Elephas maximus indicus: one gene and its partner. Each later gene encodes a partner of the first gene's protein in a complex. Links are inferred from orthologs where the notes say so. Each region holds a gene or a part of one and is shown on either strand. Other genes may lie near its edges.

What was found.
Region 2: the proteins of RNH1 (region 1) and ribonuclease pancreatic-like are in contact, whole or in part, in a crystal structure (PDB 3TSR), measured with the Mus musculus proteins. The link is inferred for Elephas maximus indicus from reciprocal best matches to the Homo sapiens genes RNH1 and RNASE1. Residues at the interface, in NP_001165571.1 of Mus musculus: Cys7, Asp32, Thr60, Asn89, Asp117, Glu145, Tyr146, Asn174, Glu202, Trp257, Trp259, Glu283, Ser285, Trp314, Lys316, Glu340, Glu397, Ser401, Asn402, Gln426, Val428, Tyr430, Asp431, Ile432, Tyr433, Trp434, Thr435, Asn436, Glu437, Arg443; in NP_035401.2 of Mus musculus: Arg26, Glu27, Lys32, Gln36, Pro48, Thr49, Gln53, Lys56, Arg57, Met60, Asn62, Gly63, Ser64, Cys65, Lys66, Pro67, Val68, Asn92, Lys94, Asn96, Leu111, Lys112, Gly113, Asn114, Ser115, Lys116, Asp121, Ala134, Glu136, Val143.

Annotation. Positions count from the first base shown.
Region 1 is NC_064825.1:137,557,842-137,565,076, forward strand, and holds the start of RNH1 (ribonuclease inhibitor), read left to right. Parts: upstream 1-4,140; 5' UTR 4,141-4,231; intron 4,232-5,957; exon of another isoform or gene 5,958-7,235. UniProt on the Homo sapiens protein: Ribonuclease inhibitor which inhibits RNASE1, RNASE2 and angiogenin (ANG). May play a role in redox homeostasis. Required to inhibit the cytotoxic tRNA ribonuclease activity of ANG in the cytoplasm in absence of stress.
Region 2 is NC_064828.1:31,191,778-31,199,083, reverse strand, and holds ribonuclease pancreatic-like, read left to right. Parts: upstream 1-4,523; 5' UTR 4,524-4,568; intron 4,569-5,342; 5' UTR 5,343-5,367; coding exon 5,368-5,871; 3' UTR 5,872-6,794; downstream 6,795-7,306. UniProt on the Homo sapiens protein: Endonuclease that catalyzes the cleavage of RNA on the 3' side of pyrimidine nucleotides. Acts on single-stranded and double-stranded RNA.

The sequences.
Region 1 (7,235 bases):
TCCTAAAACCAGTGAATGTAAGAGAGGCATGTCACTTAGCTCCTGCTGTGTCATAAGCCACCCCAGACCTAGTGGCTGAGACATAAACCATTTATTCAGCCCCAGATCCTGCAGGCCAGGGATTTAGGCTGGGGGTCCATTCCACTGGTCTCTCCCAGCCCCCCATGCAGCTATGGCCAGCTCTTGGGACTGGTGGGCTGGGGCTGGGTAGCTCGGCTCTCCCCAGGGGGTCTCTCATCCCAGCTATGTCAGGGCATCCAGCAGGCTAGCTCAGGGTCCACCGTGAGCCTGAGACCTGAGAGAGGGGCCTGGGCTCACACCGGCATGCTGTCCCTACCCCACGTCCTGCTGGCTTAAGTGTGCCATGAGGTCAGCTCAGAGCCAAGGGTGGGGACTGACTTGACTGATATCATAATCTAAGTCTCTAGACACATAATGGTCTACCAGACTCTCTACTCCATTCACAGATCTGTCTCTTCTTACACCATCACATGGCCTCCATCGCTGTACTACTGTGTGTGCGCACGCATGTGTGTGTGCATGTGCACAGAGTATGGGTGCTGGGCGGGGCAGGGAGCCATGCAGGGTTGCATGGGCCTGATGTGGAGTGGGGACTTTATCCCGAGGGCAGTGGGATGAGGATACGGCACGGAGGACGTGAAGGTCACTGTGGTTCAGACTAGGCTGTGTGGTGGATGACGGTTTGCTGTGTAAAGCGGCTGAAGCTGGTGTGGGTGTGCCGTGAGGGTGGAGACAGGGTGTGCTCCCAGAGTTGGTTCCAGAAGTGAGGGTGCAGCAGAGCTGGGGGGGCAGGCTGGGGCTGCGTGGGGGCCAAAGGTAATTTTTGACATGCCAGTTTGGGGGCACCCAGGGGTACACCCAGATGACTGGATGGACAATGGCTGCAACCTGGTGGGCACATACTGCTGTGGATGTAACTCAAGGAGACCATGCCAGGGCTCGAGTCTTGCCCGATTCCCACTCCCAAGTCGCTTTCCGGCCCCATGACTGCTGGACCAGAGTGAGGTGGGGGGGACACAAAGCACAGTGGCCCCATGGGTTCTCCTTGTGCTCTCCTGAGGGGACTGACCTGGATAACTGTGCCTTGTGAAAGTCCCACACCCGGACAGTGAGGACCAGCTGTAGGGCTACGCCGACCCCTGGGAACCAGGAAAGCAGCACAGCCCCCAGGTCAGGGGATGCATAGGGGGTTGGGTTGTAATGACATTCACCCCGAGTCCATTTCATGGTGCCCACAGTTGAAGCCCGGACACACGTGGAGGTCATTCTCCAGAGTCCCCAAGACTCCACGGAAATAAATGGCCTGAGCACATGGCCCACCACCTACCTTGGCTCCCTGATCCCCTAGGTCTTGACTCAGGTGCCAGGCCCATCCTCGGCAGAACCGCAGAGGCCAGCACCCCCAGCCCAGTGAGGATGAGAAGTTTGTCCCATGTGGCCCTTCCGTCTGCCAGGTCAGTGAGGACGGGGACATGTGGCCTGGGGAGTGGACACAGGGTGCTGGCCCTGCCTCCTGCTGTGCTCAGGATGTGTGCTTTTGAAAGTGATGTGTTTACAAAGTCGAGCAGGAATATGGCCCCTACTCCAAGCCCCCAACAGCCCTCACCCAGCAGCCGCGTGTCGTCAGCTGCATCTTGCAGGTCCTCCTGGGTGATCTGTGGCCTCACTCACAGTTTACTGAGAGCCTGCAGGGTCAGGGCCTGTGATAGGTGTCGGGAGACAGGCAGACACCAGCCAGAAGCCCTCCACCCTCAGAAAGCGTGTCGTGTGGGGGCCGGAGGTGTGAGGGCAGAAGGGCAGACGGGAAAGGAAGGGTCTCGAGGGGACACCCACCAGATGCCTGTTTGGGCTGGATCTTGAAAACAAATCAGAAACGAAGCAATTCAAGAACTGGGCAAGCATGGACACCTATAGGGTGGGCAACATGAAGCTGGGGGTGGAAGTACTTCTGTGTTCTCCAATCCCATGCTGGGTGAACAAGGTACATTTAAAAATAAAGACTTACCTTTCTGCAGCTCACAGGTGCCCCTGACTGCGGCCAGCACACACAGGGAAGTCCTGCCACACGCATGACCTTCCCAACTTGCAGATGCGTGTGGGGTCAGCATGGATGAGGAATCTCCCCACATCTCTTCGCTGGGCCCCATGGCAGCCGTGGGGCGGATGTCACAAAAGGGAGCGAGGCTTGCAGGTGAACACGCAGTGGTGATAGACATGGCCAACAACACCCTTATGAGAGTGTCATAGGAGACCTGGCATCGAGAAGAGTGAACTATCTTAGCAGCTCCCCTGAAAACATCATTCTCCTGGTGAATGTGAGAGCTGGGCCGGAGCCGGATAGACTGGTCCTTCCAGAGCCCTAAGGTGAACTCTGAGCCTCTCCTCCTGAATCTAATCCAAAGGCACCTAGTTCTGCACATTTTGCAGGAACACCACCGCGAGCCCTGGGCGTTTAGAGGAGGGAGGCATGGTGCAGAGGACCACCACCATGGGGGGCAGCTGCAGGGAGTGCGCGCTACCCACAAAAATAATCAAGTTTTAAGCATTGAATGGGTTGCCCCCAGCCACCAAGCTTGAAATGGCAGGGCAAGGATCAGACTCGGGTCTGGTGACCTTGTGCCTGTGAGCCAGCCCACCTTCTGTAAAGACAAACAGAAAAGCAGACCAGTAAAAAGAACTGAGGAGCCGCCCCAAAACACCTAACTTGTTGAATAAGCGCCCAAAGCGAAAGTCAGAGTTTACGCACTAACATGCATGTTTGCTCTTGTAAGGACATCAAACCCACGTTCTCAGAAATTTCCTCTTCATTAGTCACAACTCCAACAAGCCTTGTTGGTTGGTTTCCCTTAAAGCGAAAGAAAGCAACAAGAACAGGGGAGACCCGAAGCCAGGCCGTGGGTACCGGGCAGACACCACCCCTCATGTGCGCATTTCTAGCCCCGTCGCCATCGCTATATGTTAGAAAGGATGAACGTTTCTCGCGATTTCTTTATCCTTTTCTGAAAACCCCGGTTGTGTAGGACCTCCAGGGCACTGGTGACAGCTGCCGCCTGGAGAGTTGTCCCCACACGTGACCATGGGGCCAGCGCTGCAGGCAGGTGGCGTCCCTCCTCCCAGGCACCTGCTGGGTGCCAGCCCACAGACAGCCCTCAAATGATTTGTTAAATTAATTTTTAAAAAGCCAATTAAAGTCAGTACACTGCGTTTAGAAAACAGGGAAGAGAATAATACATTTAAACAAGAAACTTCTATCAAAATTGTTAAAATAAAAATTTGATACTTATATAAGTAAGTCCTGGGGAGTCCGCTTCATCCCTGACGCCCTCCTGCCTTTTTCTACAGCAGAACCCGGGGCTCCGGCCAGCACAGCCTCCCCATCGGCCCTTCCAGCAGGGCCAGTAGGAGGTGGGCAGCTGTCCTCACCCTCACTGCTGCTTCCAGACCACCCTTCCCTTCTCGCCCAAGGCTCCAGCCTTGCCGTGTGTCCTCCCACGTCGGTGGACACCTGGCCTCGCCAGCTCCCGGCAGGCTCTTGCTGTCCCTGCTCTTGTCTCAATTCTCCACGAAGCAGCCCCCAGCCCTGGCCTCAGGCCTTGCACCCCCCCTCCGCCGTGTCTCCCCCATCAGGCCGCCGTCCGTCCCAGCCAGCACGCCGCCGGTGCGAGCAGCCGCTCAGTAAGCGCCCGTGGCGTGCGAGCCCTCAGCGGGACCCCAGGCGAGGCGTCACCCACGCGTGGACGGCAAATGCGGCCTTAATGAGCAGCTTCACAGAGACAGACAGACAGACGACGGCCGGCGGATTTCGCCAATGAGGCAGGCGGCGAGCGCCCGCGGGGAGAGGGTCCAGAGACTCCCGTCGTGGTCACGCAGAGCCGGGCACAGGCCCACGCGTGACTCTGGACCCCGCCAGCCACGCCCACCCGACGCCCTAAGGCCCCGCCTCCGCCGGCGAGGCCCCGCCCTCCCGCCGCCAATGCCGAGCGCGGCCGCCCCGAGGCCCCGCCCCCACCGCGGCCCCGCCCGCCCCGCAGGCCCCTCCCCTCACCACCGGCCCCGCCCCGCCCCGCAGGCCCCGCCCCGCAGGCCCCGCCCCTTCAACCGCCCCGCCCCTCTCCCGGCCCCGCCCCTTCCTGCCCGCCCCGTCAGGAGCCGCCGTCTCCCGCTCTGTCCACAGACCAGTGACAGGCAATCGTCGGTCGCCGCGTCCGAGGTCAGTGACTCCAGCGGCCCTCAGCCGCGGGCCCTCGGAGAGCTGGCAGTCCGGGGCCCACCCTCACAGGCGCAGGCCTCGCTCCGGCCGCCGGTGGACGTGTGCCGGGCGCTGCTGGGCCCTCGGAGCCCGGGCTGAAGGGGCGGTGGGAGCGGCCATGTGCGGGGGCGGGGTAGGGGCGAGGGGCGCCCGGCGAGGGCGTGGGGGCGGGGCCTGCAGAGGCAGCAGCACCGCCCAGCGGACGTCGGCGCGCCCTGAGGACGTCATCGCGCCTGAGTGCGCCCGCCCCCGGCCTCGGCCCGCTCCCGGGGCATGCTGGGAGTCCCGGCGCGGCTGCAGGTGTGCGCCTGCGTGGTCCGCCCCTCGCGGCCGGCGCGCGGGGGCGCCTGGGTCTCCCCGTCGGCTGGCGCCGCGCAGGCCACGCGAGCGAGGCTCGGCGCAGCCACGCTTCTTCCCCAAACGCGTAACCCTTGGCCTTATTTCCCAAAGAGCCGCCCCCGAAGGGAAGCTCTGGCAGAAAGGCCTCGCCTGGGTCCCACCCCAGGGGTGTCGGGAGGGGCGGGGCACCTCGGTGACCTCAGATCGGAGAGGGGCGGCCCCTCGGGCACCCTCCGGTGGTGCCAGGCCCCCGAGAGTCGGCGAACGGGCGGCCCCTTCCCGGGGGAGGAGCACCCAGAATTTTGCATGCGCTCTGGTTTTCTGGTGCAGCCCACGGAGCAAGTCCCGCGCGGGGTGTGCGCACCGACTACGTCGACACCGTGCGGACGGAGCCGGGCCGGGCCACGGTACCGAGAGAACCGGGCCAGAACTCTGGCCCAGGTCCTCGCCTACGGCTCCGCTCGCCGCCTGGGGACCCTGGGGCGGTTACCTGCCTCCCAACTCAGCCCCTGCTGGAGCCCCGAGCGGCCGGGGGGCTGGGGCAGCGCCCCTAGGGGCCCAGGGCCAGGTGGTCCCAGGGTTGATTGAAGTGTAAAACGAGTCCTTCCAGGCGCTTGGAGGTAACTGTCTGGTACCAGCAGAGGTGCCTACGCGGTGCCGGGAGGGTTAAGGACAGCTCGGGCAGTTGAGGAGGGCACTTGGGCGTGTTTGGCTCTAGGATGGTGTGCCAGGAGGGTAACAGTGAGTGATCAGCTGCAGAGCCTTAAAACAGCTTAAGTGTCCACCATGGAGACTGGCCGAATAAACAATACATGCAGACAACCTCACACGATGTGGCCATTAAAATTACATTGTATACTTGATTCTTGAGTGAAAAGGATTATAATGTAACATACTAATGTCTTTCTACTATTGTAGCAAATCACCGCCGATGTAGTGGTTTTGCACAAGACAGATATTTTTATTTCAGTCTTTGGGAGGGCAGAAATCCAAAATAAGTCTTCCAGGCTAAAATCAAGGTGTCAGCAGAGATGGTTCCTTCTAGAGGCTCCCCAGGGCAGAGTCCATTTCCTTGCCTTTTCTAGCTTCTAGAGGCCACCCTCATTTCTGGGCTGGTCTGTGGTCCCTTCCCCATCTTGGAAGTGCATCACACCACCTCTCGTTCTGTCCTCGCACCTCTGACACACCTAATATCAGACTTTTTTTTTTTTTTTTAAAGTGTATGCGTGTGTAGAGAAGGTGTGGGGGCAAATACCACAGCATCAGCAGACCTGTGGGGGGGGGGGCGGGGGACTCTGGGCCTTTGGTTTCATTCTCTTTGCTTATCTCTGTTTTCTGGTTAATTTGTTGGGAGACTAGTACACGGAGAGGCCCCTCTCCTCCCCGGCCCACCCTCGGCCTCCATTAGTCTTCATCCCCCATCTACTCAGAGACCTAGCAGCCCCCTCCCTATGTCAGGGTAGAGGGTGCCACTCGCTGTCTTCACTCTGCAGCTTGTCCTGGGTGCCCACCCTGTGCCAAGCACTGAGCCCGACCTGCCCTGCCCCTGGAGAGCTCATCGGCTGGAGGGACTCAGATGTGATACAGCCTACCGGTCAGTTAGCCTCGAGTGTGACAGGTCCTCCCAAGAGGCATGAGGCTAGGACCAAGTCCAGTCTGGGGAAGTCGGGGAAGTCCCTTGGGCCATGGCTGAGCTCAGAAGTGGGGAACTGAAAGTGGCTGGAACTTGGGGAGCCTCCTGCTGCACCCAAACCCTACCCCTGGAAGTAAAACAAGAATTTCGGTCATGCCCACCAGCTTGAAGGCTGCATCCCAGCCACTCTCCCCACCCTCCCTGTGGAGCATTTTCGCTGATCCTGCTGAGAGACCTGCACTCTTGGGGTGCTGGGCTCTGAGAGGGGAGAAGGGCCCTCTCTCTACAGTGACAAAGGAGCAGGGCTGCAAACCACCTACTTCCCAACAGCTGGAAGCCCCACACACTCAGGCCCCGCCCTCTGCAATCACCCCTGGCACACCCTGGACCCCCAGCCCCAGTGACCAGGCTCTGCCTGAGTGCCCTCCAGGCACTCCACGCAAGCCTACTTTAAACGGATGAGTTCACCTGGGCAAGGACCCCAACTGCAAATCCACTATGGGGCAAATCAGTGGCCCTTTGTTTCTGCCACGCAGTAAAGAGCCACTTGCTGACCAGCACACTGAAGCCCCCACCCCACCTTGGTCCCTTCTCAGGTGATGGTGGCTCTGTCTTTCCATCACCTGGGCCAAATTGTGAGCCATCCTGGTTTCCCCACACACACTGTGAGCCATGCTGGTCTTCCATACACACCATGAGCCATCCTGCCCACCCACCCCCCATGCACTGTGAGCCATGCTGGTCTTCCATACACACCATGAGCCATGCTGGTCTCCCCCCACACACTGTGAGCCATGCTGGTCTTCCATACACACCATGAGCCATCCTGCCCACCCACCCCCCATGCACTGTGAGCCATGCTGGGCCACCCCCACTTCCATGGTGTCAGCTCCACCCTACTTCCTGCAGTGGCCCCCTGACTGTCTCCCCTCTCCTGCCTTCAGCCCTCACCCTGCAGTCTCTGTCCTTGATCCCCATACAGCCCATTCTCAA
Region 2 (7,306 bases), on another chromosome or scaffold:
TGTTCATTAATGAGTGAATAGATGAATAAAATGTGGTACATTTTACTCAGACATAAAGAGAAATGAAGTCCTGCTACATGCTACATCATGGATGAACCCTGAAAACATTATGCTGATTGAAATAAGTCAGTCATAATGGGACAAATAGCAGATGGTTCCATTTATATGAAATATCTAGGATCGGCAAGGGTATAGAGACCATATTTATTAGGCTTAGTGGACACTGAACTTCTGTTAAGGGTAATGGGAAATTTTGGGAATGGTGATGGTTGGACAACATGATAAACATAATTAATTCCACTAAATTGTACGCCTGAACAATGTTGAAAGGGCAAATGATTTTTTACATATATATTTACAACAATAACAAAAAAATTGCAAAAAGAAAGGTCTATCTTATATACTGGGTTTAGATTCACATTTGGGATTTCTGGATGGAAATGGGAGTCCTTGTGGCGCAGAGGTAAGAGCTCGGCTGCTAACTGAAGGACTGGTCGTTCAAATCCACCAGTTGCTCCTTGGAAACCCTATGAGGGCAGTTCTTTCTCTGTCCTGTAGGGTCCTTATGAGTTTGGTTTTTTGTTTTTGGATGGAAATCGATATGTTGAGAGATGGTGTCCTACTTGTTACCCTCTTTCAGGACGAGGAAGAAGTCAGGGGTTGCACTGACTTTGGATAACCCTCTTGGCCATTTCATCCTTTCCCCTCTCTTCTCTCCTCTTTCAATCACTGCTCACCTTAAGGCAGGGCTAGAGCCACAGAGCCATTTTCTCTTAGCCTCAAGACAGCCCCTCACTCAGCCCATTTCTTGGAATTCTTTCTTTCCTCCTCAGAACCTCTTGAAGAGAAACAACCATAAAACCATAGGCTGGCTAAAACCAGTCCTGCCCCGATCTTGGCATTTCAGATAGTCTTTAGCTCCTTAACTGCCTCATGCATGGTAGCTATGAGTCAGAATCCACTCCACAGCAATGTTGTTTTTTGTTTTAAGGTGGAGAGCTAACATGCTAATGAACAAAAATGGCTAACTTCCTCCTGCACTGAGAATGGAACCCAGGCCTTAAAAAATACTCATTCTGAAATGCTCTGCACCTTCCCACATGCCCTTTTGTATTCTGAAACTGATCCTTCCTATATAAACCAGGCTCAACAAGCTCCCTTCAAGGCAGTCTTGGATAGCACACAGCCCAGGCTGCCTCTTCCCTTGGTCTACCAATAAAGATGCCTTTCGTTCTTCCCAGCTCGGTCTGTCTTTCTGGCTCTGATGGAGTTGCACTGAGCAGAACCTGGAGTTCCCAGCAACAACCTCGCTCTGCCTGGCTCACATTTCCATCTTTTTCTGTTCTAATTTTTCTCTGCTTCCTCAGTTTCTCAGTTTGACAAGGGGCCACAGAATACTATTTTGTGTATGTGTGTGTGTGTGTGTGTGTTTGGGGGGTCGTGCTGGGCTTTTGGAGGCTGCCTAATGACTGCCCATCCCTAGATGTAAAACATAAGACATAAAGACATCCTTATGCTAGACATTCCCCCCTTCCTTGTTCTTTTAAAGATCTGAACTGTGATCCTGAATTCTTCTTGTTGGACCAGATCCTCGAAATTCTTCTGGCCCTGGGAAGGTACCAAAAGAATGACCACTTTTATGCAGCCATGCTCACCACTTTGGTGGAATCTTATGGACTAAATCAGACATTCCACCAGGCACCTTTATATCAGGCCCTGTGCCATAATTATCTCTGCCCCACTCCCGCTGTTTCATGAACTAATTCTAAATTGGCCCCCCAGGATGATCTAAGCACTATCTAACCACCTGAGCCAAATAAAACCTGGTTGGGGTTGGGGTGGTGGACGAATTACGATAACATGAAACAAATCTCATGCGACATCAGCTCTTCCTTACGTCCACTTCCTCTTCCAAATTCATACACATTAGCAAGTACGTGGATTTTCCTAAAGATTTCTTGAATACTACATGGCAAAGATTGTAAGGATGGCACAGGACCCACCAGTGTTTCGTCCTGTTGTACCTAGGGTCGCTGGGAGTTGGAACCTGTTAGATGGTACCTAATGTCAACAACATTGCAAATACAATTTAAAATTCTTAAAGAATTTGTTCTTCCCATCCAATTTCTTCTCTTCTCCCCCCTTCTTTCTTTCCCTCCCCAGGGCTTCAAAACTGCCAGCTATTTTAAGCCCAAGTTTTTAGCAAAACAAAAATCTGGCAGATGGTTGAGTTCATTCCCCTTAGACAGCAATTCAGAGGTCATCTGGTATTATTTCACCATGCTCCTTGGGGAGAGGGAGCCTCAACCCCACCCTGAGTGAACAAGAGCTAACATTTCTTAAAGTTGTTCTTATGCCAGATGGTGCTCTACTTCTTGTACACATCTTACCTTATTTTGTCCTAAAAACAAATCTAAGAAGTACATACTATTACTACCCCCATTTTAGAGAGGAGCAAACCAAGGAACAGGGAAATTAAATTCTGTAACTTGTGTAAGGCCAAATACAAATTGAAAAGAAGGGAAGAGGAACCACTCCCCTGTTCTTTCAGGATTCACTATAGATAACTTCTAAGGTTATCTAAACATTGTCTCTTTGAAAAGTATGTAAATAAAGGATGTTACCTGGAGGAACTGGGAAGCAACACTTTTGCCATGTGATCTCCTGGAAGGAGATTAGCATAACTTTGGGTATCTTGCCAAAAAGATACAAGAAAATTAGCAATTTTATCTTGAAAACATGAATGTAGTGAGTCCTGTTTACTTAGCTCTATAAAGGGTCAGATTCCTTCCTGTCTTTGGGATCTCTTTAGCTGATTGCCAGTGATGTATCACATTCTGGTTTTATGTTTATTGAATAATAAAACTTTTCTTTCTCTTCTCTTTTAGTGCAGAGGTTTTCTGGGTTGGGAGTAGATTTTAAGTAACTTTTCTCCAACACTTGCCCAGCTCTTCAGGCGCTGAGCCAGGCTTTTGGCTGAGGCAGTCTGCATCCAGAGCATGGATGAATATTTTGATAATTCTCACTCTAGAGAGATCAGTTATTGCCCAGCAAAAGCAAGTCTCTTTCCAGGAGGGAATTCTGCTGTTAAGAAAGATAATGTTCTCTGCATTTCGTTTTCTCCAAAAAGCACTCTGGCTGCTTTAGTTGTCTTTAGTTCCCCTACTCAACTTTTACCTCCATGATGAGTTTTCACTGTGGATAAGCACACACCCTCATTACTCCAGGAGTAAGGTCGAGGGTGGGCAGGAAGTCACTCGAATTGGGTGAGGTCATTGTAGAGGCATTCTTCTCTTCCCAACCCAGGCCCTTTCTCTCTCCTTCTCCATATCCAGGAAGTCTGCCTGCAGGGGACATCAGAAGCCCCCACCCAGGAGGTGTGCACTTGGGAGATGTGGAATTCTGGCCAGGGCACTCCAGAACGCCTGGGGAGAGAAAGGGAGAGCCCTCTCCTGAGATCCCTTTACCTGCTGTTGTAGGGGACAAAAATTTCCAAGTTCAGTAAAGCAAAAAGAAAGTTTTATTAGGCATATATTCAAAAGGACAAAAGCTGGGAAGCGGACAATCATTTTGCCAGAGCTTTGTCTGCCTGAGCCCAAGGAAATATTACAGGGTAAGCAAGAATGGCAAAACAGATAAGCTTGCTGCCACAGCCATGTCTGCCTGAGTCCAAGGAAATTATAGACAAAAGTGGGAAAACGGACAACCATACTGCCACAGCCATGTCTGACTGAGTCCACGGAAGGTTACAGAGTCCTCAGTATATATTAACATTACAAATGGGCAAAACCACTGAAAGCTTCACCTTTTCACAGACTGGCTAGAAACTGTCATCCTACATTTCGAATTGTCTTTCTTAACAATCATTGGTACAGGTTTCAGTAAGGACAGTCAGGAGGGTGACAGTCAGGAGGGTCTTCGTTGGTCCAACAAATTTCTATTCACTAAATGTTAATAGAAAGATAAAAGTAGAAAATCTTTTGTGTTCTGGCTTAAGTGAAAGTTTCCCTAAGAGATATTTTCCGAGATTATTCTATCCATTGTCTTTATACCTCAGGGCCCAGTTGATGTGTCCTTGTGAGCCCTTCTGAGCCCAGCTCCAACTTGGTCACATTCTCTATACTCAAACACACACCTTAAGGACAGGGAATAATGACTTCAATATAATTTCTTAAATCAGTGCCCTTGTTAAGCTCCAAGGGGTTCTTGGTGAAAATTAGCCCCTAAGTGATAACAAAGGTTTTGCTATGATTCGTGAAGACTGGGTGCCAGCAGCCCTAGTGACTTTCTCCACTGTTCCTAGGGAATCAGTAGAGAGATGAGGCTCACAAGGTAAGAAAGACTTCTAGAAGCAAAGACATGCTTTCCCCAGCAACACTGAGATGGGGGTGGCTTGAGTGGTTCCCCACCCTTCTTCCCTCAGTCCTTGCTTCTGTATGGACTGATCCCAACAGGCTCCTCCCACCCCTCCCTTCTTGGAAGCCAAGACCCTTTGCAATTTGTATAAGGTTCACATCCTGGGGACAAGTGATAGCAGAAACTCCATCTGCTCTCTCCTGGAGACCAAGGTAAGCTGCCCCAAAGATATCCTCAGAATGTGCTTCTGCTCAATGGTCGGAGAGGAGGGAGGCAAAGGCGGGTAAGGCTATCAAAGAGAAAGCTTGGGCCAGGTAATCATCGCTCAGGGGAAGAGTTGGAGTGGGGAGTGGAAAATTAAGGCTCCAGAGAACCTATGGACTGGAGAAGGGGGAGCCTCCAAGTTAGGAAAGGGAGCATATCTCTTTAGAATGCCGTGGAACCGCTTTTTCAGTGCCTGTATCAGGTACTGGGTTGAGGTTCCCTTGTGTTGTAGGGCAAGAAGGCTCCGTCAACCATGATCCTAAACATCCTGGTGGACCTCAGGGATACGACTGGGCTCATGGTTTATTCAAAATGATTTTCTAATGAGCCAGTTGAGCACTAGGTACAAATGTTTATTTTTCAAATATATTTTAGAGCAAAGAAACTATAGGATCCAGACAGGACTGCCAGGATTTTATGTCGCTTCTTAAATTTTTGTTAGTACTGTGAAGCAGTGCCAGGCTTAGGTCAGGTTCAAACCACCAACTTTTGTACTTAGGTACTTTACCATTTGTACCATCCAGGAGCTCTTTCTCTATTTAGTGAGATTAAAATGCTCCTGAAGGGGAGTATATGTAAGTGTCTCTTTACTTGGAAAATCAGGAAGAGGGGCTTCTATCTGGCTGACCTAAAAGGGAGACTATAAACCAGGGAACCCACAAGAGGGAGCTGGCGTTCTTTCTAAGAGGATGTTTTTCCATCTCTCTGCCTTTCTTGGGCAGGCTCCCCCAGGTGAGTGAGACAACCATGGCTCTGGAGAAGTCCTTTGTCCTGCTCCCTCTGCTAGCCCTGATGTTGCTGGTGCTGGGGTGGGCCCAGCCTTCCCTGGGCAAGGAATCCCCAGCCAGGAAGTTCCAGCGGCAGCACATGGATTCAGACAGCAACCCTAGCAACAGCTCCAGCTACTGCAACCTAATGATGAGGCGCCGTAATATGACAAAGGGATATTGCAAGTCAGTGAACACATTTGTGCACAATCCCCTGGTAGATGTCCAGGCCATCTGCCTCCAGAAGAACATCACCTGCAAGAATGGGCAGCCCAACTGCCACCAGAGCAACTCAAGCATTCCTATCACAGACTGCCGCCTGACGGGCAGCTCCAAGTACCCCAACTGTGCGTACCGGACCAGCAACAAGATGAGACATATCATCGTGGCCTGTAAGGGGAAACCGTATGTGCCTGTCCACTTTGATGGTTCAGTGGAGGTCTCCTCCTTAGGCCAGAGCACACATACCCTCACCACCTCATGACTGTGACATCTAGGTCACAACACACATATGGGTCTGGGTCTTGCCCCTCAGTGGTTTTGGCCGTTAGGGGCGGGGATTTGGGGATTATATTTACATCTTCACCGCTTCTCTTTATATAATATAGTTGCAACCACATGGAATCCTGAAGCTGTCCCTACCCAGGCAGTGTTTCTGTAATTGCTTTCCTGCAAGGGCAAGAAGTATAAAATTAACTAAATCTGTGAACATATGTGAGGTGTGGGATCACTTTGCAAAAAGCATTTTGGCCTTCGTTTTCTGTTCTTTTGAGCCATACTAATACCTGAGGCTAATGAATGGGGGGCTGACCAGCACAAGAGGGGTCAACGTAGGAGCCTGATGCTGTTCAGGCATTATGTAATCTATCCTGGCCATGGGATGAAGGTGATAAGAGCCCTGAGCCCTAAGGCTCAAATGGAGCTTCCTGGTTGGTGACCATGCTTGGGAGGGGATGTGCATCCCTCTTTGGGAAATGGAAGCTTCACTCTGACCCCTCCCAGACCTCACCCTATTTGTCCTTTTGTTTGTATCCTTTTTGGTTGTAATAAAGTTGTAGCCATAAGAATGGTATACTCTCCTAAAGGTTCTAAGATTAGTTCTAGCAAATTAACAAACCCACAGGGATGATGAGAGCCAGGAGAGGCTGGTGTCTGCCTATTTGGCAATCTGAAAGATGGTGTCCTTCTAACCTTTAGTGTCATACCTAGCTCTGAATGGCTAGAGTCCAAGAAATGTTGCATGGGCAGCTGGTTTGAGTTGATGTCCTTTTAACTCGTGACTTCTGACCCAGCTCTGGGTGGCTAACATTGGAGAGGAAGTGTGCTATTTGAGCTACTGGTGATGAGGATGGGGAAGTGGGATGGCGAGTATTAGACCCATTACCACATTTGGGGGATTGGATTCATGCTAATCCTTACCGCTCAGTTAGCAATGAAGGTGAGAGTTTCCCACTGCACCCCTTGCTTAGGGCAGTAGTGAATGGAATAATTAAATGCCTACACTTCTTCCTCTTAGTTTTTAGTGACCTGAAAGAATTCCATCTCTTTTGGATTCCTTGATTTCAAGCATAACGCTGTTCAGTGTGGATGTTTTCGATAAAAGGGGGTCATGGCCAAGACTCTGGCACGGAGGGAAGGATAGCATGACTTCAGGAAGACCCTGCCAGTCTCAGGGTGGGGAGGTAGAGCCTATAAAATTATGTTCCTCTTTTTAAATAAGCTATTACTGAATCAGAAAAATGGGCATATTGGCTCTAGTACATGGAAAGTTGGAACCATACATTTTAGAGCTAGAAGAAATGTTAGAGAATTACGAGACAGCAAGTAGGTTTCAGCTTGTGTGTCAACTAATTAATTGACAGGGCTGCTTAGAATGTCGCAGAAAAAAAATTCTAAGTAGTGATGTGATTGAACAGTAG